4 linked regions of the Arabidopsis thaliana genome follow. The protein of the gene in region 2 interacts with the protein of the main gene of each other region in a pairwise test. Each region holds a gene or a part of one and is shown on either strand. Other genes may lie near its edges. The genes, in order: CAK4, CYC3B, CDKD1;3 and ETG1.

The links.
Region 1: the proteins of CYC3B (region 2) and CAK4 interact in a two-hybrid assay, tested with the Arabidopsis thaliana proteins (one large-scale study listed by BioGRID).
Region 3: the proteins of CYC3B (region 2) and CDKD1;3 interact in a protein complementation assay, tested with the Arabidopsis thaliana proteins (one large-scale study listed by BioGRID).
Region 4: the proteins of CYC3B (region 2) and ETG1 interact in a two-hybrid assay, tested with the Arabidopsis thaliana proteins (one large-scale study listed by BioGRID).

The regions. Positions count from the first base shown.
Region 1 is NC_003070.9:24,892,603-24,897,773, forward strand, and holds CAK4 (CDK-activating kinase 4), read left to right. Parts: upstream 1-1,920; 5' UTR 1,921-2,172; coding exon 2,173-2,274; intron 2,275-2,360; coding exon 2,361-2,659; intron 2,660-2,734; coding exon 2,735-2,843; intron 2,844-3,725; coding exon 3,726-3,851; intron 3,852-3,926; coding exon 3,927-4,162; intron 4,163-4,238; coding exon 4,239-4,413; 3' UTR 4,414-4,657; downstream 4,658-5,171. Other genes in the region: SGA2 (ASF1 like histone chaperone), read left to right, coding at 1-92, 392-507, 581-946.
Region 2 is NC_003076.8:3,601,003-3,607,243, reverse strand, and holds CYC3B (mitotic-like cyclin 3B from Arabidopsi), read left to right. Parts: upstream 1-1,893; 5' UTR 1,894-2,079; intron 2,080-2,740; 5' UTR 2,741-2,777; coding exon 2,778-2,933; intron 2,934-3,016; coding exon 3,017-3,103; intron 3,104-3,216; coding exon 3,217-3,403; intron 3,404-3,629; coding exon 3,630-3,751; intron 3,752-3,873; coding exon 3,874-3,966; intron 3,967-4,133; coding exon 4,134-4,267; intron 4,268-4,435; coding exon 4,436-4,511; intron 4,512-4,600; coding exon 4,601-4,677; intron 4,678-4,773; coding exon 4,774-4,807; intron 4,808-4,900; coding exon 4,901-5,050; coding exon of another isoform or gene 5,051-5,139; coding exon 5,140-5,274; intron 5,275-5,373; coding exon 5,374-5,433; 3' UTR 5,434-5,731; downstream 5,732-6,241. Other genes in the region: AT5G11310 (Pentatricopeptide repeat (PPR) superfamily protein), read right to left, coding at 1-84, 196-754.
Region 3 is NC_003070.9:6,206,331-6,211,269, forward strand, and holds CDKD1;3 (cyclin-dependent kinase D1;3), read right to left. Parts: upstream 3,199-4,939; 5' UTR 2,970-3,198; coding exon 2,871-2,969; intron 2,726-2,870; coding exon 2,427-2,725; intron 2,341-2,426; coding exon 2,232-2,340; intron 2,132-2,231; exon of another isoform or gene 1,816-2,131; intron 1,803-1,815; coding exon 1,677-1,802; intron 1,524-1,676; coding exon 1,288-1,523; intron 1,209-1,287; coding exon 951-1,208; intron 847-950; coding exon 798-846; 3' UTR 541-797; downstream 1-540. Other genes in the region: AT1G18030 (Protein phosphatase 2C family protein), read left to right, coding at 1-37, 238-348; AT1G18050 (SWAP/surp RNA-binding domain protein), read right to left, coding at 3,632-3,912, 4,155-4,225, 4,936-4,939.
Region 4 is NC_003071.7:16,932,710-16,938,792, reverse strand, and holds ETG1 (E2F target protein 1 (ETG1)), read right to left. Parts: upstream 4,173-6,083; 5' UTR 3,867-4,172; coding exon 3,699-3,866; intron 3,451-3,698; coding exon 3,337-3,450; intron 3,249-3,336; coding exon 3,141-3,248; intron 3,053-3,140; coding exon 2,921-3,052; intron 2,817-2,920; coding exon 2,775-2,816; intron 2,589-2,774; coding exon 2,487-2,588; intron 2,386-2,486; coding exon 2,149-2,385; intron 2,059-2,148; coding exon 1,942-2,058; intron 1,852-1,941; coding exon 1,649-1,851; intron 1,560-1,648; coding exon 1,424-1,559; intron 1,356-1,423; coding exon 1,128-1,355; intron 1,018-1,127; coding exon 950-1,017; intron 875-949; coding exon 760-874; 3' UTR 521-759; downstream 1-520. Other genes in the region: AT2G40560 (Protein kinase superfamily protein), read left to right, coding at 1-88; KT2 (potassium transporter 2), read right to left, coding at 4,277-5,394, 5,472-5,726, 5,829-5,946, 6,030-6,082. UniProt on the Arabidopsis thaliana protein: Associated component of the MCM complex that acts as a regulator of DNA replication. Binds to the MCM complex during late S phase and may act by promoting the disassembly of the MCM complex from chromatin. Required for sister chromatid cohesion.

The sequences.
Region 1 (5,171 bases), on a different chromosome or scaffold from region 2:
CACCAACGTCGCTGTATTGCATAATCCTGCTCCTTTTGTTAGCCCTTTTCAGTTCGAGATTTCTTACGAGTGTTTGAATTCTCTCAAAGACGGTAAAAATCTCCTCTTTCTCCTTCCCCTGAATTGTAATTCATCTCGACTTTATTTAGGTTTTAGTCTCTGCTGATTCTTATGGATTGTTTTCAACACCAATTTGTTGCTGCTGATTGTAATTGGAACATATTGTTACCTAATTGCTTTGTCAGAGTCATGCTCTAATGGTTTGTTTTCTAATTGATAATCTAGAGTCTTGTTGTCTATTAGTTGGATTTATCTATGCACAAGTTCTTGGTTAACATTGTTATAGGGTGAGGATAACTTAGATAGACCCGTGCTTTTGCTTGTGGTACAGATTTGGAATGGAAGCTTATCTATGTAGGCTCAGCAGAAGATGAGACTTATGATCAACTTCTAGAGAGTGTGCTTGTAGGGCCTGTTAATGTTGGCAACTACCGCTTTGTATTTCAGGTAACATATGCACTACTACCTCTTCCAAGCACCAACAAAGTCTTGGTCTAACTCTCTATTACTACTGTTACAGGCTGATCCTCCGGATCCATCAAAGATTCAGGAGGAAGACATCATCGGTGTTACTGTGCTATTGTTGACATGTTCTTACATGGGTCAAGAGTTCTTGAGAGTTGGATATTACGTGAACAATGATTATGAGGATGAGCAACTCAAGGAAGAGCCTCCAACTAAGGTTTTGATTGATAAAGTTCAGAGGAACATACTTTCCGACAAACCTAGAGTTACTAAATTTCCTATAGATTTTCATCCAGAAGAAGAGCAGACTGCTGCTACTGCCGCTCCTCCTGAACAATCTGATGAACAACAACCTAATGTCAATGGTGAAGCTCAGGTTTTACCTGATCAGTCAGTAGAACCAAAACCTGAGGAATCATGATCCTTATACCAAGTCTAGTTGAAGAAAAGTGGATGAGAATTGAGAACTATTGTCTCCACAGATGTTGCGCTTTGCTTTTCTGTCTTTCAAAAGCATTATATGCTGTTTGTTGTACTTAATTCTAGAGGCTTTAGGGAAGTGATTCTTGACATTTTTGTATGTTTATGTTTTGGGCAAAGGTTTTTTAAATCGAAGCAAAGCCAACAGTTGCCAAACAAGATTCTGAGTTCTGATGGTTGGAATTTGGTAATAGGTGTAGAATAACTTCCCTAGATTTTCTCAAGGTACAAAGCGACATTTGATCTTCATCATTTGTTGAAAAAAGTGCCGTTAAATGGTCATAGTTAGCATTGATGATGATGATTATCATCATCATCAACCATAATTCTTTCACCAAAAAAACATGAGTCCGTGATTTTTTTAGGACCGTTTCACAGTTGTTCTGCCAAAAATATGAGTCCGCATTTATTCACCAAAAAAAAAAAAAAAAAAAAAGTAGTACACATTACAATTTCTCGCCTAACGATTTTACTCTGTGGTAAACCGAAAGATAGTTAAAAACGGCTCCATTTCGATTACTTTGAAAAAAAAAAAATGTTTGTTTTGTTAAAAGAAAATATCTTTTAAAATATTAAAAAATATTTTATTCAAACTTTTATTAATACAGATCTAATTACTAAACTCAATAACATTATAAAAGCCGTGTTCGGCTAAGCCCAGTAAGCCCTATATGTTTTGAATAAATACGATATTTTATAATAAACAGATTGTTGTTTTTAAATACCTAATAATACATAATATATTCCTATACTTGACAATAACGAATAAGAATTATATTACCTATTATTTTGGATTTCGTAAAATTATTTTATATTTTTTTTAGGTAAATGGTAAATTTGTAAAAAATAGCTACTTTGATATTTATATTGTGTATTATTTTCTACTCGATAAGATTAATCATCAATAGTTCGAGGTGGAGGGTTAAATTATCTAGGGTCTGATGATCATGTAGAATCACTTCCTGCAAACAAATCACGAGTGTTAGCATATTTATGCTATCCACAGTATCATATGGCTGTTTCTGATTATTTCATAAATATAAGGTTCGTTTCATAAAACACAAAATCTTACGGGTATAAAATTGAAACCAAAGAATTCAATTTCTTAAAAGTGTTTCACTAGGAGCCCTCGTACTTCCTCGAAGTGTACCGGAGAATCTAAACCCAATGTCGAAATCCGGCGATAATCAACCAGTTGATAGATACCTCCGCCGTCAAATCCTCGGAGAAGGAACATACGGTGTCGTTTACAAAGCCACCGACACAAAGGTAAAATCAAAAACCCTTCCCGATTTCGTTTTCAATTTCATCAAGATTTTCAAACTCAACAATCTTCGATTTTGTGATTTCCTTAGACTGGGAAAACTGTAGCAGTGAAGAAGATAAGATTAGGAAACCAAAAGGAAGGAGTAAATTTCACAGCTTTAAGAGAAATCAAGCTACTAAAAGAGCTGAATCATCCACATATCGTTGAACTCATTGATGCTTTCCCTCACGATGGAAGTTTGCATCTAGTTTTTGAGTATATGCAAACAGATTTAGAAGCAGTGATTCGTGATCGTAATATCTTTTTATCTCCTGGTGATATTAAGTCTTATATGTTGATGACTTTGAAGGGTTTAGCTTATTGTCATAAGAAATGGGTTCTTCACAGGTAAGAAGTTATGCTTAGGTTTATAAAGATTTGATTTTGATTGTGTTGATGGTTTGTTTTTGGTGTGGTTGTTAGGGATATGAAGCCGAATAATTTGTTGATTGGAGAGAATGGTTTGTTGAAGTTGGCTGATTTTGGTTTGGCGAGGTTGTTTGGGAGTCCGAATCGGAGGTTTACTCATCAGGTATTGATGCTATGATTGATACGGTTTTGAGCTTGGTAGCTAGGTTAGTGTAGTTCTTGATGATCTTATTGGATTTATTGGTTAGGTATTTATATAGTTATTGATATTTATGGTTGCATTGGTAGCTAGATTAGTCTGGAGTTTGTAGTAAATATCTTGGTACTTCTTCTTGATGATCTATTTTGAATTTTATGCTCAAAATGAAGAGTCGGTACAGAGTATTGAGAAGATATCATACTTTATGTGTGTTTGGTTTTGGTGAGGTGAAAGATTGTATTGACATTTTTTTACCCTAGAAGATTCTGAGATTGATTAGTTATGAAGAAATCTCTTCTATTTTTTGTTTGAATTGACAGGTAGATTAGTCTTGTTCTTGATGATCTATTGGTTTTTTTTTGCTGGGACAAACTAAGAGTATATATAGTGCATTGAGAAGACATACTATGTTTTTAATTCGAATGCTTGCATACCTATGTTATTGGTTTCGGTTGGTGATTACAAGTTTAAGTTTCCGGATAGCATTTTGTTGATTACGGTCATATTAACATTTTGACTCAAGAAGATTCTGCAATTGATTAGTTCTGTAGAAGTCTCTTTTTGCTGGATATGGAAAAATTGATACAGAGTATTAAGAAGACATCATACGGTTTTAATTTTGATTCTTGCATACCTGTGTTTTTCGATTTTGGTGAGATGAGAGATTGATGGTTCAAAGTCACCAGATACAGTTTTGTTACTTACGGATGTATTAACATTGTTACTTTAGAAAGATTCTGAGATTTATTGGTTGTGTAACTTGTGTAGATATCTCATTTGGTTAGCTATTTGTATCTGCTTGTGGAAGATTCGTTAAGTTTAAATTGGTTATACTTATTCACACAGGTATTTGCTACATGGTACAGAGCGCCTGAGTTACTGTTTGGGAGTCGACAGTATGGAGCAGGAGTTGATGTTTGGGCTGCAGGCTGTATTTTTGCTGAGTTACTACTTCGTAGACCATTTCTTCCGGTAATGCTCTATACCCTTCGTACTTCATGTTTAAAAAGTCTGTAGTTCTCTAAACATTTCCTATACTTTCTTCAGGGTTCTACTGAGATTGATCAACTTGGAAAGATCTTTCAAGCGTTTGGTACTCCAGTACCTTCCCAATGGTCTGACATGATCTATCTCCCAGACTACATGGAATTCTCCTATACACCCGCTCCACCATTACGTACCATTTTCCCTATGGCAAGTGATGACGCTTTGGATCTTCTAGCAAAAATGTTCATCTACGACCCACGTCAAAGGATCACAATACAACAAGCTTTAGACCACAGGTATACTCTTGAAAAAGAAACCCACGGGACAAAAATTCTGTTTCATCACTCTGATTATCATTGGTTTTTTCATCAGGTATTTCTCGTCTTCTCCATCACCAACTGAGCCAGGGAAGCTTCAGATTCCAGCTTCCAAAGGAGACGCACTCGAACCAAAGGCCTCCGAGCAAAACCAACATGGAAATAGCCCAGCGGTACTGTCTCCTCCTGGTAAAATGAGGAGAGTGATGGGTCCTGAAGGATTCACTTGAGAAGATGATGTTTCATTTCTTTTGGAAAATATCAATGGATATGCCCAGAAGATTTCAAAATTAGATTTTTACCATTGATAATTCAATATTAGTTAACTATCAAAGAGAAAAAATTTAAAGCCATAAATGTCCTTCTTAGTTCTTACTTTGTTTAATTTACCAAATATGTCATGTATCAACTATTGTTATAATTTCACTATATATCAACTATCTTACCATATTAATATAAATATTATTCAGATATTTAATATGTTAGCACGTTATATTCAGTATAACATGTTATTATAAAGTTAAATTGATTATTTCATATTAATTTGTATGATATGGTAAATGGTTTAATACGATATATAAAAATTTATCGTGATACTATACTAGTTAACATATTAATCAAATAGTTATATATATTTAGCACGATACTATACTAGTTAACATGTTAATCAAATAGTTATCCACATAAATCATAAATATTTTATGCAATCCAATGATAAATACGACAGTGTCGTAAATTTCGGATGAATAGTGTCTTCAGGCAGTTGATGAACAGTATCATGTCTAAAATATCCGGTAATAAATAGTGTTTTGAGACAATGACATATTTAGTAAATTAAACAAAATGAAAAAGGAAATTTATGATTTTAATTTTTTTCTCTTTCATACTTACCTAATATTAAACTATCTATAATAGATATCTAATTTTCAAGTCTTCCAGGCATATACATTAATATAGCTCTTTCCTTTTTTCCTTTCCTTGACTATAA
Region 2 (6,241 bases):
GCAACCTAAGTTCCGTAGCTGATTTACAAACCGGTTCATAACTTCTAGCGAATTCAAAAGCTCGTATAGCTTGTTGCACCATACCTACAAGCAAATTGGAAAAACTATATTAAAGTCAAAAGCTTTATGCTTCTATTACTCTAAGCTAGCTCTTTGTATCAGCAATATTGATGAAGCTACAAGAAATCTGCATACCAGCACGAGCATACCGTCTGATCAAAACGATGAACGTATCTGCAGAAACCAAATTCGATCCTTCATCGCTTCTCACTCGATCAAAAACCAACGACCAAGCAATTTCAAATTCACGAGCTTTACATAGAGAATTGACAACAGAATCGAAAAGTGAAGGAGAAAGTGTAAACCCAGGTTTCATCTCCGCCCATTTGAACACTGAGTGAAGCAACATCGGCGATGAACTTAACCGATCGAACAACGCGTGAACCAACTCAACACTCGGTTCGATTCCGGTTTCATCTAAAGCTGACTCGAGACTCGAACCGGGAACAACATCAGTGTTCTCGAGAAGATTCGATATAGTAGAGAGATCGGTTTTCGAGACGGTGTTTTGTTGCGGTGGAGTACATGTAGAATCGGGTACGGCGGGTGATTGTATCCGTTGGATGAGAGGCTCGACGGGAATGAGCGGGGATGAACGGCGAGATGATGATAACAATCTATGAAGAAAGAAGTTGCGGTGAGGATTAGGGTTTAAGAGGAGGTTGCGGCGGAAGGCGGTGAACAGAGAGTTCATTTTCTGCCGCCGTTTATTAGAATTAAGTGTCCGCCGAGAAAATTAGGACACTCCGATTACGCGCCATTTGGGCTTTTGTTTGTTAACTGAAAATATCGATCAACATGGCCCATTATTTTAAAATGAAGTTACATATAGAATATTTGATATATATCCTCATACAACTTAGAAATTGTCTTTCTAGTCCTTCTCCACACGTATTTAATTTGTTTTTTATAAAGATGTATATACAATTTATCATTTATTTTTTTGGATAATTTACAATTTATTATTTTGCAAGTAAGAATCCGTGTATGCGTGTGATTCGTATATGTCCAAATACATATAATTAATGTTGTTAAATTGGTAGAAACGCCTTTTTGACTAATGTTTGAATTTCTATATGTGAATAAATATCTTTCGAAATAATTGTGAGAATGCAAGGCAATGGATGTGGTTATTTTCTCCCTCCATTTCCTTTTCAAATTTATTTTATCCCTTTAAAGAAATAAACATATAAATATTATTGACCAAATATATTAAATTGATTTTAAGGTAAAATAGTTGGAAAATATGTGTATAATTAGAAAAATGTCAAAAATTTATAATTGATCTGAACTCGAGCACTTGTTGATGTGTATTTGGATCGTATTTTCCAGATACATGAATTTTAAATTAACATCTTTTAATTTGATTAAGTAAATCAACGATTAAAAACGTGAATGATGGTAGATACATTGCGGTGATAATATCGTACAGAATCGTTTAATGTAAATATAATGTCTATTAATGTATTTTCGTTTCCAAATTAGAAATTACTGTAATTTACGTAAGGTAAATATATTTTTTGTTTTCAAAATAATAGTCATTACCATTTTATGTTTGTCGGAAATTTCTCGACCAATAATTTGTCTATCTATCGAAGTAGTGTAGTTCTTAAAAAACAAACAAATTACCATAACATATAAACTTTTTTTTGTTAATTGACAGCTCCAACATATGTGTAGTAATAAAAGACAGTTGCACTATTCCTTGTATAGTAACTTGGACCAAATTATAGAAATCATTCTTACAATTTTTTACCAAAGAAATTGAAGATTTTTCCAAAAAAAGCAAAGAAAGATTTTTTAAATTCCGATTTTTTTTTTTTGTTATATCCAAAAAAATCCGAATTTCAAACAGTACCTTTTTCAGTCAGTCGCTTCCCCCGCTCCTCTCCGCTCTCTCCCCCACCTACACATATTTCAACACTCTCTCTCTCTCTGGAGCGTTCTCTTCTCTCCTTGAGCTTCTCTTACCGCCATTAGAGCTCCTTCACAAACTCATAAACCTATTTGTTGAGCCAGGTATCATCATCACCTCTCGTCTGCTCACAATTTCCTGTTTGATTACCGATTCTCTGAATCGTAGCTTGTTGCTCTGCGTTTTGATCGATCGGAGCTAATAGTAGTTTGGATTTTAGTCTAATCGATCTCTCTAGCGAATGTTTTTTGGTCTTCGATTGAGATGATCGATTCCTCTTTGTTGTTTCCGCTTGTATTTGGTTTCTGCGTATTTGTTCTTCAAGCATGGCTAATCACTGGGAAATTGAAATTGTTGAGATCGTTCTTATCTGTTTGACTGGATTTTATGAAACGTGTGTGTACTCTATGGCTCATTGTTTGTTTAAGTAATCGGTCTTTTAAAGGATTTTTGCTATGAAGAACAATGCTTAATTCGATTTGGAAATGACTAGCTTGAAAATTGGATCTATCGATGCAGATTAATGTGAAGGAAACATAGAAACTAGTTGTGATAAGCTGGGTTGCTTGTTTAAGCTGACATTTACTCAATAGTTAGAATCGTGTGGAATTGAGATCTGTGGCTAAATTTGAGTATGAAGAAATCGTTTTAATTGCCACTATATGCTTGTTTCTTCCTGAAATTTATGCTGCATTTGAACATTGCTTGATCTTTTTGATGGAGGCAAGGATAGACATTTGATTATGAACTGTTGTTGTTCTGCAGGCTTGGCTTAACCACTGGCCTTTTTCCAGACTAAATTATGTATTGCTCTTCTTCGATGCATCCAAATGCAAACAAAGAAAATATCTCTACTTCAGATGTACAGGAGAGTTTTGTACGAATAACGAGATCACGAGCTAAAAAAGCCATGGGAAGAGGAGTATCAATACCTCCAACAAAACCTTCTTTTAAACAGGTACTGAAACATGTTCTTATAGAAAGTCATGAATTTCAAGAGCTGATGCTAAACTCTCTAATTTCCTGCCTCTGGTTTATCAGCAAAAGAGACGTGCAGTACTTAAGGATGTGAGTAATACCTCTGCAGATATTATTTATTCAGAACTTCGAAAGGGAGGCAACATCAAGGTAAAGATTTCAGATGATACGCTTTCATTGTCTTGGTTGGTTTATATCTTATGTTGGTAATATAGCCTTCAAACTTTCCCTTTGGGCTTATTACTGTTGACATCACGTTGCAGGCAAACAGAAAATGTCTAAAAGAGCCTAAAAAAGCAGCAAAGGAAGGTGCTAACAGTGCCATGGATATTCTGGTAGATATGCATACAGAAAAATCAAAATTAGCAGAAGATTTGTCCAAGATCAGGATGGCTGAAGCCCAAGATGTCTCTCTTTCAAACTTTAAAGATGAAGAAATTACTGAGCAACGTAAGAACTACAGTGTTCGTGAAAATAATGATAGTTACCACCTTCTCCTCATTTCCGAGGTCATGTTGATCACTCGCTAACTTTAAATCAAGCATTGGACTCCAGAATGCTGAAATTAGTTATTCCCATTAAATTTGTGTTGTCAAGGGTTGAAACAAGTGAACTCTATACCAACATGAATTTCTCAAACTTACTTAAGGTATGTATCTTATACTGGATTGTGCAGAAGAAGATGGATCAGGTGTCATGGAGTTACTTCAAGTTGTAGATATTGATTCCAACGTCGAAGATCCACAGTGTTGCAGCTTGTATGCTGCTGATATATATGACAACATACATGTTGCAGAGGTATTGAATTACATGATCCAAATATTTGCTTTACATCTTTCCACTGTTAACTTCTTGTAACTAATCTCAATATAACTACTTATATGAAGACTGTTGGAGTTATAACCTCTCTTTTCTTGCAGCTTCAACAACGACCCTTGGCTAATTATATGGAGCTTGTGCAGCGAGATATCGACCCAGACATGAGAAAGATTCTGATTGACTGGCTTGTAGAAGTTAGTTACCTTCAAACTTAGCTCATATATATAAATAACGGCATCATCTTATTATGTTTCTTATTGAATAGGACACTAAACCTTACTATACATAGCTTTCTTACAAAAATTAGAGCAAAAACTGAGAGTACTTTTGAGTAAAATAGTGAAGTGCGTGGTATTTTCAGGTTTCTGACGACTACAAGCTGGTTCCAGATACGCTTTACCTTACAGTGAATCTTATCGACCGGTTTCTGTCCAACAGTTACATTGAAAGGCAAAGACTCCAGCTCCTTGGTGTCTCTTGCATGCTTATAGCTTCGTAAGTCCCTACTTTGTTGTTTGTGTGTGTTTGTCAATTTCAGGTTATAGCAATGAGAACAGCATTTCCATCACTGGGAGAGCGCGAACCTATATATATATGTATACTTGCTAAGTAGAGAAACAAGTAAGGCTTATCTTCCTTATACATTTTTGTTGAACCTTGTAGAAAATATGAAGAGCTTTCCGCACCAGGGGTGGAGGAGTTTTGCTTCATTACGGCCAACACATACACAAGACCAGAAGTAATTAACATTCAAATCACACATCTCTCGGTATCTTTAATGTGTACAGATTCTTGATGAAAATATATAAACTGGAATCTTTGTTTCAGGTGCTGAGCATGGAGATTCAAATTCTAAATTTTGTGCACTTTAGATTATCGGTTCCTACCACCAAAACATTTCTGAGGTAAATACTAAAGGGCAGAACTATGAATCATCATATCTTTCCAACTTTGTTTAAAAATAGTACCACTGAGTTTTCATCTTACCAATGTTTTTTCAGGCGGTTCATTAAAGCAGCTCAAGCTTCGTACAAGGTATGAAACCATGATCCATTTATCATCAACCCTCACTTCTACAGAAACTTGGAATCTGAATGTAGTGCGTTGTTTCTTATAATTATTTTGCAGGTGCCTTTCATTGAACTGGAGTATTTAGCAAACTATCTCGCCGAATTGACACTGGTGGAATATAGTTTCCTAAGGTTCCTGCCATCACTAATTGCTGCTTCAGCTGTTTTCCTAGCCCGATGGACACTCGACCAAACTGACCATCCTTGGGTCAGCTCATGTTTCTTGAATCTTGAAAAAGGTTGTTTTTGTGTTTGCCTCTTTTTTGTGCTGATAAAAAGAATGATGTTTGGTTATAGAACCCTACTCTGCAACACTACACCAGATATGAGGTAGCTGAGCTGAAGAACACAGTTCTCGCCATGGAGGACTTGCAGCTCAACACCAGTGGCTGTACTCTCGCTGCCACCCGTGAGAAATACAACCAACCAAAGGTACATTTCTCTACAAAACACCGTTAAATCAAACTACTGATTGTTGAAGAAAAGTGAATGAATGATTGAACTGGTTTTAATTCTGTATGACTTTGATAGTTTAAGAGCGTGGCAAAGCTGACATCTCCCAAACGAGTCACATCACTATTCTCAAGATGACACCAAGCAACATCGAAAACAGAGCCCAAGTCAGGTGATCAAAATACCTATTTTCAGACATTGGATGTTATGTCGTCTCTTTGCCAGTTTTGTCTGTCTGTAATTCTGTAGCTATTGTGTGGCGCCTTAATTGTAGGCCATTACTTGTCACACCACTTAGCTTTAAATAAATGTTATGGAATTTTTCTAATCGCATTGCTACAACTATTTACTATCCTGCGGGATTTTGTACCTAGGAGCACTTGGAAAACGAATACAAAAGTGTTAATTAATATAAATTTCACTGTTCATGGCTGGATTGTTATGTTGTTTGTTCTGATTTCGCAATGCTATATTCATATGGAAACATTTCCATCTACAATTAACGTCTCCCGTGTAACATTTGGTATCCCCTTTTTACTGATTCCTCCATGCTTGATTTTATTCGTCAAATTAGTCTTCAGGTATACTTCAATGTATGTATTTCCATGGCTTGAAGTTCTTCAATCTTCCACAAATTCAATCAAATCCTAAAATTCGAAGATACGCCAACACTTTTCCTCCTTAAAAACTCTCAACTATACCCACTTCAGTTCCTTAAGTTGAGTTATCACAGCTACAGTTCCTTATATAGTCCTCCACTAAACAAACAAGAAATCCCTAAGTCTGTAGCTCGACTTAAAACCGCTTCAGATACTTTTCTCAAAGTCGACTTACCTATAATTTTCTGTATGGCAATAGCCTCTACCGCCGTGATTGCGCACGAGATTCATTTACAAAGATCAGGACGCCTAAACCGGTAACTTCTCACTATAAAATGGTAAAAACA
Region 3 (4,939 bases), on a different chromosome or scaffold from region 2:
AAGTGATGCTGTTGGATTTGTCCAGAAACTTTTGAAGGTAAATACCTACAGTTGTCAAAATCACTTTGTCCTCCATTTCACACTCTCTTTAACTACATAGAAAGAAGCTCAAAAAACAGATGTTTTTCGGTAGCCATGTGAGCAAAATGGCTTGTTAGAACCTTGTGCACACAAGTAAAGAGTGTCAAGGGAAATTAAATGTGAGAAACTAAGAGGCTAAGAACTATGATTTTGTAGGAGGGCTTGCATGTAAGCACGGTAAGTCGCCGTCTTGTGAAGGAAGCTGTGAAAGAACGTCGTTGCAAAGACAACTGCACAGCAATCGTGATAGTCTTCAAGCGGGTATGACTAAAGAAGAGCCTGACTGACATGTGGGCATCTGTTTTTCTGGCTCGTATGTGTTTTATAAACCTGTTGTTGGTATTTGGTAAAATCTTTTTGAGCTGTCAATGGATCAATTAAATTCCTGGGGCCACCATCGAAAGAAAAATGAGTTTGAAGATTAAACAGAGCTCTCTTTGTACCGCAAAGAATTCTAGAAGCAAAAAGTAGAAAGCTTTATAATCATAGACTTCATAGTACAGTATGATCAGTTTACAATGAATAAAAAGCCTATGGGACAACAAAATATTATCATTGTGAATCTAAGGTCCCTCTGGTTTGTAATCAAGCTAAATATGGAAAAGAATAAATCGCCAGATTACACAAGCAGCAGTAAATTGACAACTTAACAATGGTGTGGTTTCACCAGAACATGAAAATGGAGAAGCTAAGAGAAGAGTGCATAACCAACAGTCTTACTGGAACTCAAGATCGAGTTTCCTCTTCAGATGAGATCTATCAGCACTACAAATTGAACAAGAAGAAGTCATTAAAACACAATCAATCTTGAGGCTGTAATGACAAATGAGATTAATATGCAGTGAGGGAGAAACTGTCTTGTTTTTTACCTGGTGATTGTTGGCCTGTTTGGAGGTCGCTCAGCGAGGATGGTAAAATCTAATGACATGGGTGCTTGTTGATCCTTGTCAACATGAGACTTCAAACTATCAACCCTCCCACGCTCAGGCATCACTCTTCTAAGCTTACGTGGTGGTGATTGCACTGTAATGGCCTCATGTTTACCGTAAGATGATTTACCATCCTGCTTAGGAACGGGCTTTGGGAGCTTAGCCGGGTCAGTAGGAGCAGGTGCAGAAGTGAAGTACCTGAAATAATGAAAACAAAGGTGTGAGAGCAGAACGCTAGATATACTTTGCCTATAAACAGATGGTGAACATTAGGCACCTGTGTTCTAGAGCCTGCTTAATGGAAATTCTAGCCTTTGGGTCATAGGTAAACATTTTGGACAACAAGTCGAGAGCATCATCACTAACTGCTGGGAATAAAGAACGTAGAGACGGTGCAGGGACAAATTGATACTCTACATAATCTGGAAGCTTTGTTAAATCCGGCCACTGATCTGCTTTTGGTGTCCCAAAAGCAGCAAATATTTTGCTTAATTGATCAATATCACTGTTTCCCTGCAACGGCAAAAATAGAATAAGTAAACATACCGAGAAAATTGATAATGAATATGTAATTATGTAGTCTGAGAGTGAGTATAACATCCAAAGAGATGACAATTGGACTAAAGTTTTAATGGTAGCCATTAGATTTGAGTAAGATTATTTAACCTGAAGAAATGGTCTGCGTAGTAGAAGTTCGGCGAATATGCAGGCAACGGCCCAAACATCAACTGCAGCACCATATTGTTTTGCACCAAACAAAAGTTCTGGTGCTCTGTACCATCTAGCAAACACCTGTGCATTATCAGATATATCAAGATATGAAGATAATATAACAACTAGAAACAAGAGAAAATAAGTTGCATTGCGCATTTGGAAACAGAGCTCACATGGATTCTATTGTAATTTTGGGTGTTCAAAGGGAAACAAAGAAGGCAGAAATAGCTCAGGTCAAAAATCCGGTTAACAGCAAAACTTTTAGTACAGATATGAGATAGCTACTGCACCATCATTTAATATGAGTTGAGACTGTTTAATACATGTTACATTTAGTATACAACTAGAGAAATGAAAAGACATGAGACATCTAATCTTCCTCATCCCTAGACATAACTACTGATAAGAACTACTTAAAACTTTCTTATCAATATTTCATATGAGTTAGTCGATCAATTTGGTTATATTACAGCAATAGATAAAATGGCAATGCGGCAAAAGGCATACCTGGTGGGTAAACTTACGATTTGGACTACCAAATATACGTGCTAAGCCAAAATCTGCAAGCTTAAGCTGTCCATCAACTCCTATTAACAAGTTATTTGGCTTCATATCCCTGAACTCAAGCCACACATAATCAGTGCCCAAACCAAGCAACATTACAGAGACAATAAGCAAGTTGTTAAGGATAAACAAATGTACCTGTGCAAAACCCATTTATCGTGGCAATAAGCAAGTCCTTTAAATGTCATTAGGAGGTAGGATTTAATGTCGGCGGGTGAGAGGAAAATGTTAGAATCGCGAATAACTGCTTCGAGGTCAGTCTCCATGAACTCAAAGACAAGATGCAAGTTTTCCTTGTGAGGAAATGCATCAATGAGCAGAATAATATGAGGATGCTTTAGCTCTTTGAGCATTTTGATTTCTCTGAGAGCTGTAATATTTACACCTTCTCTTTGTTTACCAAGCCTTATCTTCTTAATTGCTACAGTTTGTTCCGTCTGCAAAATTACACCCCACAATTACTTCCCCTTGATCCAACAAAAACTTCAATCAAAATCCGGAACCAAAAAAGAAGGAGAAATTAGGAATTGCCGACAGATCCTAAACCCTAATTTTGCAAACAAAAATCAGCAAAGATATGACCTTAGTATCAGTGGCTTTGAAGACGACTCCATAGGTACCTTGCCCAAGAACCTCTTGCTTGAGATACCTATCAGCAACTTTCTTTGGCTGCTCCGGCATTTTCGGGTTTTTCAGAACCCACTCAATAATCGCGCCTCTCTCTTTCTTCTTAATTCACGTCGCTAGAATTCGATTGCTTTCCGATTTTTATTCTAAATTGAGTAAAATCGACGATGAGGAAGATACCGGGAAAATTTAGGGTTTCAGCTTTGAGAGCTCCGGCTCCGGAGAAAAAGTAGCCGTTGGCGCGTTTGCAGACGCAATCGGCTAATCGAGGGAAACAACAAATAAAGAGAAACGCCCAATTATTTACTTTTCTAGTTTTTTATACATTTAATATCCAAACATTTTCGATTTATAAAAGAGAAAAATATTATTTAATATCTAAACTTTTAAACAATAGCTAAATTAATCGTGAATTTTTGATTTTTTGAAATGACTGTTTTATACCTCAACAAATTTAACCTATAACCTATAAAGCATATTAGCAATCCACGTGTTTTTGCTAGAGTTTAGCTGATTTCTTAAGAGCTATCGTTGCTGTTTCTCGTCCATATCCCCTTCCTTGATAGTTTCAAGCTCTTTGCCAGTAATCCATTCAGGGAGTATAGCTGCATACTTGCGAGGTGGTGGAGGCGGATACTTCATTGTCGGCTTCTGGTCACTAGCAAAGCCCGGAGGAGGTTTTGGAATCTGAAGCGGTGGTTCCCTTACCCTCACCCTCAATGGAACATCAGGTATCCCATAATCACTAAGTTTGATCTCAGGTCCCTCATGTAATTCTGCGCACGGTATCCAGCAAGCTTTTTCTGGTAATAAGCATGATAACGATCTGAGCTCCAGAAGAAGGAGTACTTTGGGTTTCCCGCATAGCTTGTCATCATCTTTCTCTCCATCTCAGGCCCCTCCATGAAAACCAAACGGGCTGAGCTATCCGCATAATATCTAGTCCTCGGAGGTACATCTGCCGGAGTTCGATTGCAAATCACTCGACATCTCTTTTCTATACAAAGAGAAACACAAAATAATAGATAAAGTTAACCCTTGATGACAAGAGATGCAAAGAGATCGATTGAATGTGTTGATTATCACTTGACCCTGAGCTCTATATGACTATATTTATACAAGGGGTAAACTACCAAGAAAACGAATTATCTTCCTAAACGTAAATATAAGAAAAGGCAAAGATACATATCCAAGGACTACTTAGGGTTTCGGAGAGAGATAACAAGTACCGTACCTCACCCACCGGAAAGTAACAGCCACGCCGCGAGAGCCACAGTGACGTCGTGAACGAACGAACTCTAGTTCTGAAGCTTGGAAATTGACAATTGCAAATCAACGGAGAATATCCTCTTAGAACAAATCCACGGAGCCCTATGCGTAGCCTAGCACTTATAGACGAGAAACTTGTGCTCCAGGTTTTATAATGGGCCTCTGTTATTCGGGCTTATAACTTCGGGCCATATTTACTTAATTTGAAGTTAAATTCGGTTTTGGGTCGAGATTTTGGGTTTTAGTTGTTTTTTGTTGTGAGAGACGTCGTTTTCCATTTTCACCATACATTATCTACTTAACCGGTAAGAACCAAATCATACATACATGAACTGTTATGTTATAAAACCATTCTGTTTAACATCAGAACATTACGGAAAAACGGTCTATTTCCCCATGGGAACTATCGCATCTGGCTAGATGAAGCCCGATCTTTGACCTCTTGCTATTTACCCATGAAATGAAAGTTAAACGTCTATTTCCCCACCAATTAAAAGTTCAAGAGCTTAATGTCCCCGAATCGTGGTTACTTCGGTTTGATACGTAAACCCGAGACGAAACCATATTATCGGTCAAAACCAAACCAAAAAAACCCGGATTCGTTTTTAAAACCCGATCCATTGTCGAATCCCAAATCCAAAATCTAAAACCCCAAACTCAAAACTCAAGAACCCTAAATCGATTCCCAATTTTTTTATTTCCAGTTGAAAGATGAGCAATCTGTCATCAAGTTCGTCGGGATCTACAGGACCTCG
Region 4 (6,083 bases), on a different chromosome or scaffold from region 2:
ACAAGGACTTCCATCGCCAACAACAGAAGACAACAAGGAGATATCTAGGTCGTTGATTCCAAGTTTCTCGAAGCTTCTTTTGACCTAATCCTCTCTCTATCTCTCTTGTGTACATATGTATAAAAAAAAGAAAAAAAAAACTGGATAGTGAATTTGCTATGGCAAAGCCTAGCCGAGATGTACCAAGGATCGGTTTGACCTTGGGAACTCGTTAAATTGTGTGTGTCTTTGTTCTTTCTATTCATACAAACGAGAGTCGTACGTGAGAGATATGCAATCGAGACCAAAGTCTTCTTCCGTGATAAGATTATCAGATCGATATATCTCTATACCAAGACTTCCATCTGGTGATTTCAATTTACATACGGGGGAGAAGAAATTTCTTTATTTTATAGAAGAGTATACTTTAGTAAGGTCGATTGGTTGAGTTTGTTTCTTACTTGCATCACAAGAAAATAATCTTCTAGTCAGTTTATCTATTTGGTACTTTTTAAAGTAGAGGTGTCACAGTGTGCATGTGCTTTATTCAGTATTTACCATGTCAGATCAACGATGAAAATTAACCGGAATGGGTTTGAAGTCTCCAAGTTTTCTTCTTTCTCAAACATTTTCCATTACCAGTCAATAGCTCAAAAGTTGAACCTTAATAAATAGATAGGAAATGAAACGATATGGTTCTTCTTACTCAGATAACTTAGTGAAAATTACAATATCCAAATAGTCTCGAAACCATAATACATCTTGTTCGTTACGGTGGTTTTACTTGAGCCTCTCCTTTCTAAGTCTTTCTAGTTCCAACACCATTTGCCAGTGCTCTAGTGAAAGCGTAGTCTCACCATAACTCACAGACATCATACGAGCCATTGTCAACAATCTGTGGAACCAAACAACATAATTGTAAGTTTTGCACATATTTGACAAGGATAAACCCTAAGGAGGGCTTTTGTACCTGCTCAAGTCTTGGCTGCCTAAACTACGATCTGTTTGTCTAGCTGCAACCAAATCATTCTCCACCACCTGCAACAAAAATTTGCAGAAAATATTAGTCAAAAGTCTGAAAACAATGGATTTCTTTAGAAGTACCAGATTGGCAGATTCTAACATTAATGCAATAGATATATACATACCTGTTGCAACTCTTGCCCAATGGAGTGTGATAATGATTTGCAAGTAGCTAAGTAGCACCTCCAAGTTTCAGCTGTTTCTGGTGTGATGACTTCCAATGAATTCACTTGAGAAGGTTGAAGAGGTAGAACCAAATCGGCGGGCATTATGTTCGACTTTCCCTCGGAGAATATGAGCATTTGAACATCAGTGGCCATTTCCATTTTGTAATATTGGAAATCATACTCAACCTGAAATAGCAGCAGATTCCATATTCATATTTGAATCTGATTAAAAGTGAATAATGACGTTGCCCTACCTTCTGACATTCCAAGAGGTTTTTAAGCAGATTTGCATTCTCAACTCCAACAGAGTTCAAGGTGCCTGGTTGCAACTCTGTTTCATCCAATATCAAGTGCGTACCATCAGCAATTTGTAGAACTCCAGGCATCAATCTGAGTCATAAAAACAATATAATTGCAGGTCTTTCAAGAGAAGAATGATTCAAAACCATTGTTAAGATTTCGTAGAACTGGATTCTTACCTGTTGATTCCATAGTCTTTCTTGGGACCGAACGAGGCAGTGTTCAGATACTCAATAGTAAGTGGTATAGATTGTGTGAACGGTAGGAGGCTTTTGAGGGCACCACTGAGCTGGGTACCGAAGATAGACATGCTTTCTTTATTAAGGTGTATGAGATTAAGAGAAAGCTTCCCAACAGCAACATTATCTACTCTTCCATGCACCTGTAAAGGAGAAAAAAAACATATGAATATAGAAGGCCGTAGCAGTAATAGCTGAGAATAAAAACAAGTGATCCTTTTTCAACTAATTACCTTTGACAGGAGATGCAATAATAGGAACTGTGCGGCAATGTGATCATTCCCAAGTAGACCGGTAAGGTACTTCATCAAACTCTCTCTTATCTCTTTGAATATTTGGGGGGATTTTGGCTGCTAAATGGAAAGTAACAAGAGATTTAAAACAAATTTCAAAACACGAATAGGTATGAGAGGTATATTTTCTAAATCGATGATACTTGCCTCTGGTAATAACGAAGAACCATGCAGGAAATGCTGTGTTTCAAGCTTTCTATGGATAAGACAATGGAGGCGTGGGACCTTTCCAGAGGGCATCTGAACAGATTCAGCTTCAGAAAGAGCATCAGAGTTTTCATCAAGTGTATCTGTATCCATCATAACAATTGGATCGAAGGTCAACACTCCAAGAAATTCAACCACATCATTTAGCTTCAAATCTGACTCTGGAGAATCATAGATCTGCGTGGCCGCATAAGAATCTTGTCAACAGACTAGTCTTTGCTGCTTTTGTATACACATGTTAACAGGTAATATAAAGAACAATGTAAACATATATTTACCTTGACAAGACAAGGCAGAGAATCTGCACTTGTAGCAGGCGGAATACCAGAAGTTTGTGGAACCTGAGATTCTGAAGCTGATGAAGTAGCTTCCCCCACTTTCTGATGAACATAAAAAACAGTATTAATCAGAAATTCTTCATCAGCCAAAATCTCAATGTCTCATGATTCTTCCCAGTAACAGTAAAGAAAAGTTTATAATATATGGTTTTTTCCACAACTTTGTAGCTTATAGTGTTAGACTCATAAAGACTTTGAAGAAAGACTTAAGAGACTAGAGATCCTTACCATTTTCTTAAAAGGAGAACCATTACGCCCAGCTTCTAAAGTCTGCAATGGTGGCTAAAATAAGTTATTGACAAACAACACCAATAGATGTTGCTACAACAAAATCAGTTTCATATAAAGCAAACATGAGAACCTAAGTTGCTTACACTGGAGTCCATGGAATCAGTCATTTCTTCATCCACCCTCACACGCTTTTCCCTGTTTTGGCCAGTTAGATCCAAAAACCGGTTTTTTAGCTCTTGTGAAGAACATTCAGTCCACTGGTTTTTTCCCGGAACCTAAACATTGCAATCAAGTGTTATTATGTTTAAACATATATGAGAGACCAACAACAAAAAAGAAAGATCCGCATGAGACAAAACATACTGGAACACAGTAAAGCAAGCGACGCTCCCAAACTTGAATTTCAGTGGAAGAACCCTCAGGAAACTGTGAAACATCACTGTACTTGTTTGTTCTCCATGTTGAATCATCCTAAACAGAACGTAAAAACAGAAACAGTTACTGATAGATAAAGATTGAATTCTTCTTTAGTAGAAACCATCAAAAGTCATATTCCTACCTTGTAAGCACCAGCATAGAATTCATTCCCAAGCATGTCCTGTATCATTCCACGAAACCGAACAAGAGTCTTGGGTTGCACCCACTTAATACTTGACGAATCAAGAATTGGAACCTAGTAGACAAAAGAAAACACTATCGGTTAATTAAGAAAAATATCTCAAAACAGATCCTTGAAAAAACCCAAATTAACCAATCTATGGATAGACTAAAACCTAAAGTAAGCTGATTTACTTAGAAACAGAGCCAAAGTACACGAAAAAATCAACCTATTATGCTAATTGGGTAGTAATTAATCAAAACATACTCAATTGCCCTAAACCCAAAAAAAAATAGAAACAGAGTAAAGGTTTTAGGGCAAACCTGGGAGATAGCAGATTCGTCGGAGAAGTAGTGACGGAACAAATCAACGACACCCCAGTCTTTTCCGACAGACGAAGCCGGATCGTAGCCTGAAGACAGAGCATTTACGAAGGAGAATCGGACGGCTCCTAAAGGGTTGGTCAGACAATCGTAAGCTGGTCCTCCCATATCTCAAAACCAACCTTTGATTTCACTCTTTACCAAAGTACTATGTAGCGAGAATCGCCAAGAATCTAGAGATGAAAGATTGAGTCTTTGCTCAAACACGAATTAAGGGCAATGTCAAGTGTGTATAGTTGGGCCTTTCCCGCCATATCTCCTAGGTTATTCCCGCCATTATCCATGCCCATTCTCCAACTTCCAACGCACCGTTTTGGACCCCTCTCCATACGATGTCGTTTCATGTGTATAATAAACTAATTCATTTGGCATATATGATCCTCTGACCATCTTGGTCTTAAGATTTGTTAAAAGTCAAACCCCAGACTCACAAACACAGAAACAGAGATCTATGAAGCTAAACATGACGAATTTACAACAGAGGAATTAGGTTTTCATATATTTAGTTTTTTCATAAGTCAAACAACATAAACCATGCCGACTTCTAAAAGAGAAACAGGTGGAACCTTAAGAGCCACGTCAGGTCCTCTACAGTTCCTTCTCAAGAAATTATAACCGAAATTAACTGCTAATCTCTTCATCACCGATGATCCTTGTTTCGCTTTCACATGTGAATGTCCCAATATAAACGCAGTTCCTGCTTCTTGCGCTGCCAGCAAATCCCTCAGCTCGCTTCTCAGTTCCGCATCTGCTTCTGCTGACGATGTTGATCCTTCGTCCTCGTAACTGTTTTCCTCAACCGCAAACCTCACCCGTCTTATGGTGGCGGTTGGGGCTGGTTCGGCCATTTGTATGACGTCTTCCATGCTTTCGACTGTGGAGAATCCGATGGAGACACTCTCTGGTTGGAGATTGTCTTCGATCTCGTAAGCTACTGTTCCGATCACGGCTAGTCTTGACTCGCTTGAGGATTCGTTGGACTGGACAGAACGAGCGTTGTCGTCTTCTTGTTGTGTTCTTTTGTGCCAATCGTAACGGATGAAATCCGCCAGCTTGCTTACGAGCTCTGTTTCGAATGAGTCCACGTCTTGATGGACGTCACGGTATCCATACCGAACGATGCATCTGTAAGAGCGGTGGTCAACGGGACCAACACGACCCACGAGGTATCTCTCAGCAGGTGGAACGAACGGGACAGGGACAGATTTCACGCAGACAAAGACAAGAACACGGTGGAAGGCAGGGAGGTTGGTGACGAACCGGGAGAAATTGGCGGGGATTCCAGAGGTTAAATCCGTGAAGACTAAACCGATACCTGGAACTCGAGAAATTCCGAGGCTTGGACCCAATGCAAGAAGCCATTCAAGCGAGACTTTATTCTGGAGATCAAACTCGTATTTCTTAATGGTGGTGTAGTGCCAAACGAACATGATGATCATGAATATTAGAGATAAGAGGATCGGAAGCCAAGCGCCTTCACGAAATTTGGTGAGTGAGGCCGAGAAGTAGAGAAGTTCTATTGAACCGAAAAAGAGAAGGAACGCTAGCGCTAGAATTGGAGGCTTGTGCCAGCAAAGAACAATGACTAATGAGGTAAGACATGTTGTCACTAGCATAACCGCCATTACAGCCAAACCTGCAACCAACCACAAAGGAATATAATCTCAAAGTCGAAGAATCCAAAATTCTTGAGTTGATAAAAGAATCTCATACCTGATGCATTTCCCAGGTGTTTGACATCTCTAAACCCGATAGTAACAGCGATGCAGAGAATCATGAGCATCCAGTTAATCTCCGGTATGTAAATCTGACCATGCATCTTATCGGACGTGTGAATGACTTTGACTCGAGGGAAGCATCCGAGAGACTGGCTCTGGTTTATGATTGAGAAAGTCCCACTGATGATCGCTTGGCTTCCCACAACAGAAGCAAGAATTGCTACAGCAAGCACAGGCCAGTGCAAACATTCTGTTCAAAACCATGGAGTTATATAAACAAAAGATCAGATTACGTTTTCAATGATCAACACCAAAAAAAAATTGAGTTCTTGAAGTAAGGCAAATTACTGACTTGGTACAGAGACGTAAAACCCAATTGCATGAGCAGAATGGTGATGCCGGGATAAGTAAGCAGCTTGCCCCATGTATGCCAATATAAGAGCCGGATAAACCAGGAAGGTAAACGCAATCTACAGCAAACAAAACAAAGATTTATTGAAACCTGTGGCGATATAACAATAAGTAAATCATCCAAGCTAAAGTAGAAACTAACCTGAATTGCTGCGTAATTGAAGTGACCAAGATCAGCAAACATGGCCTCAGCACC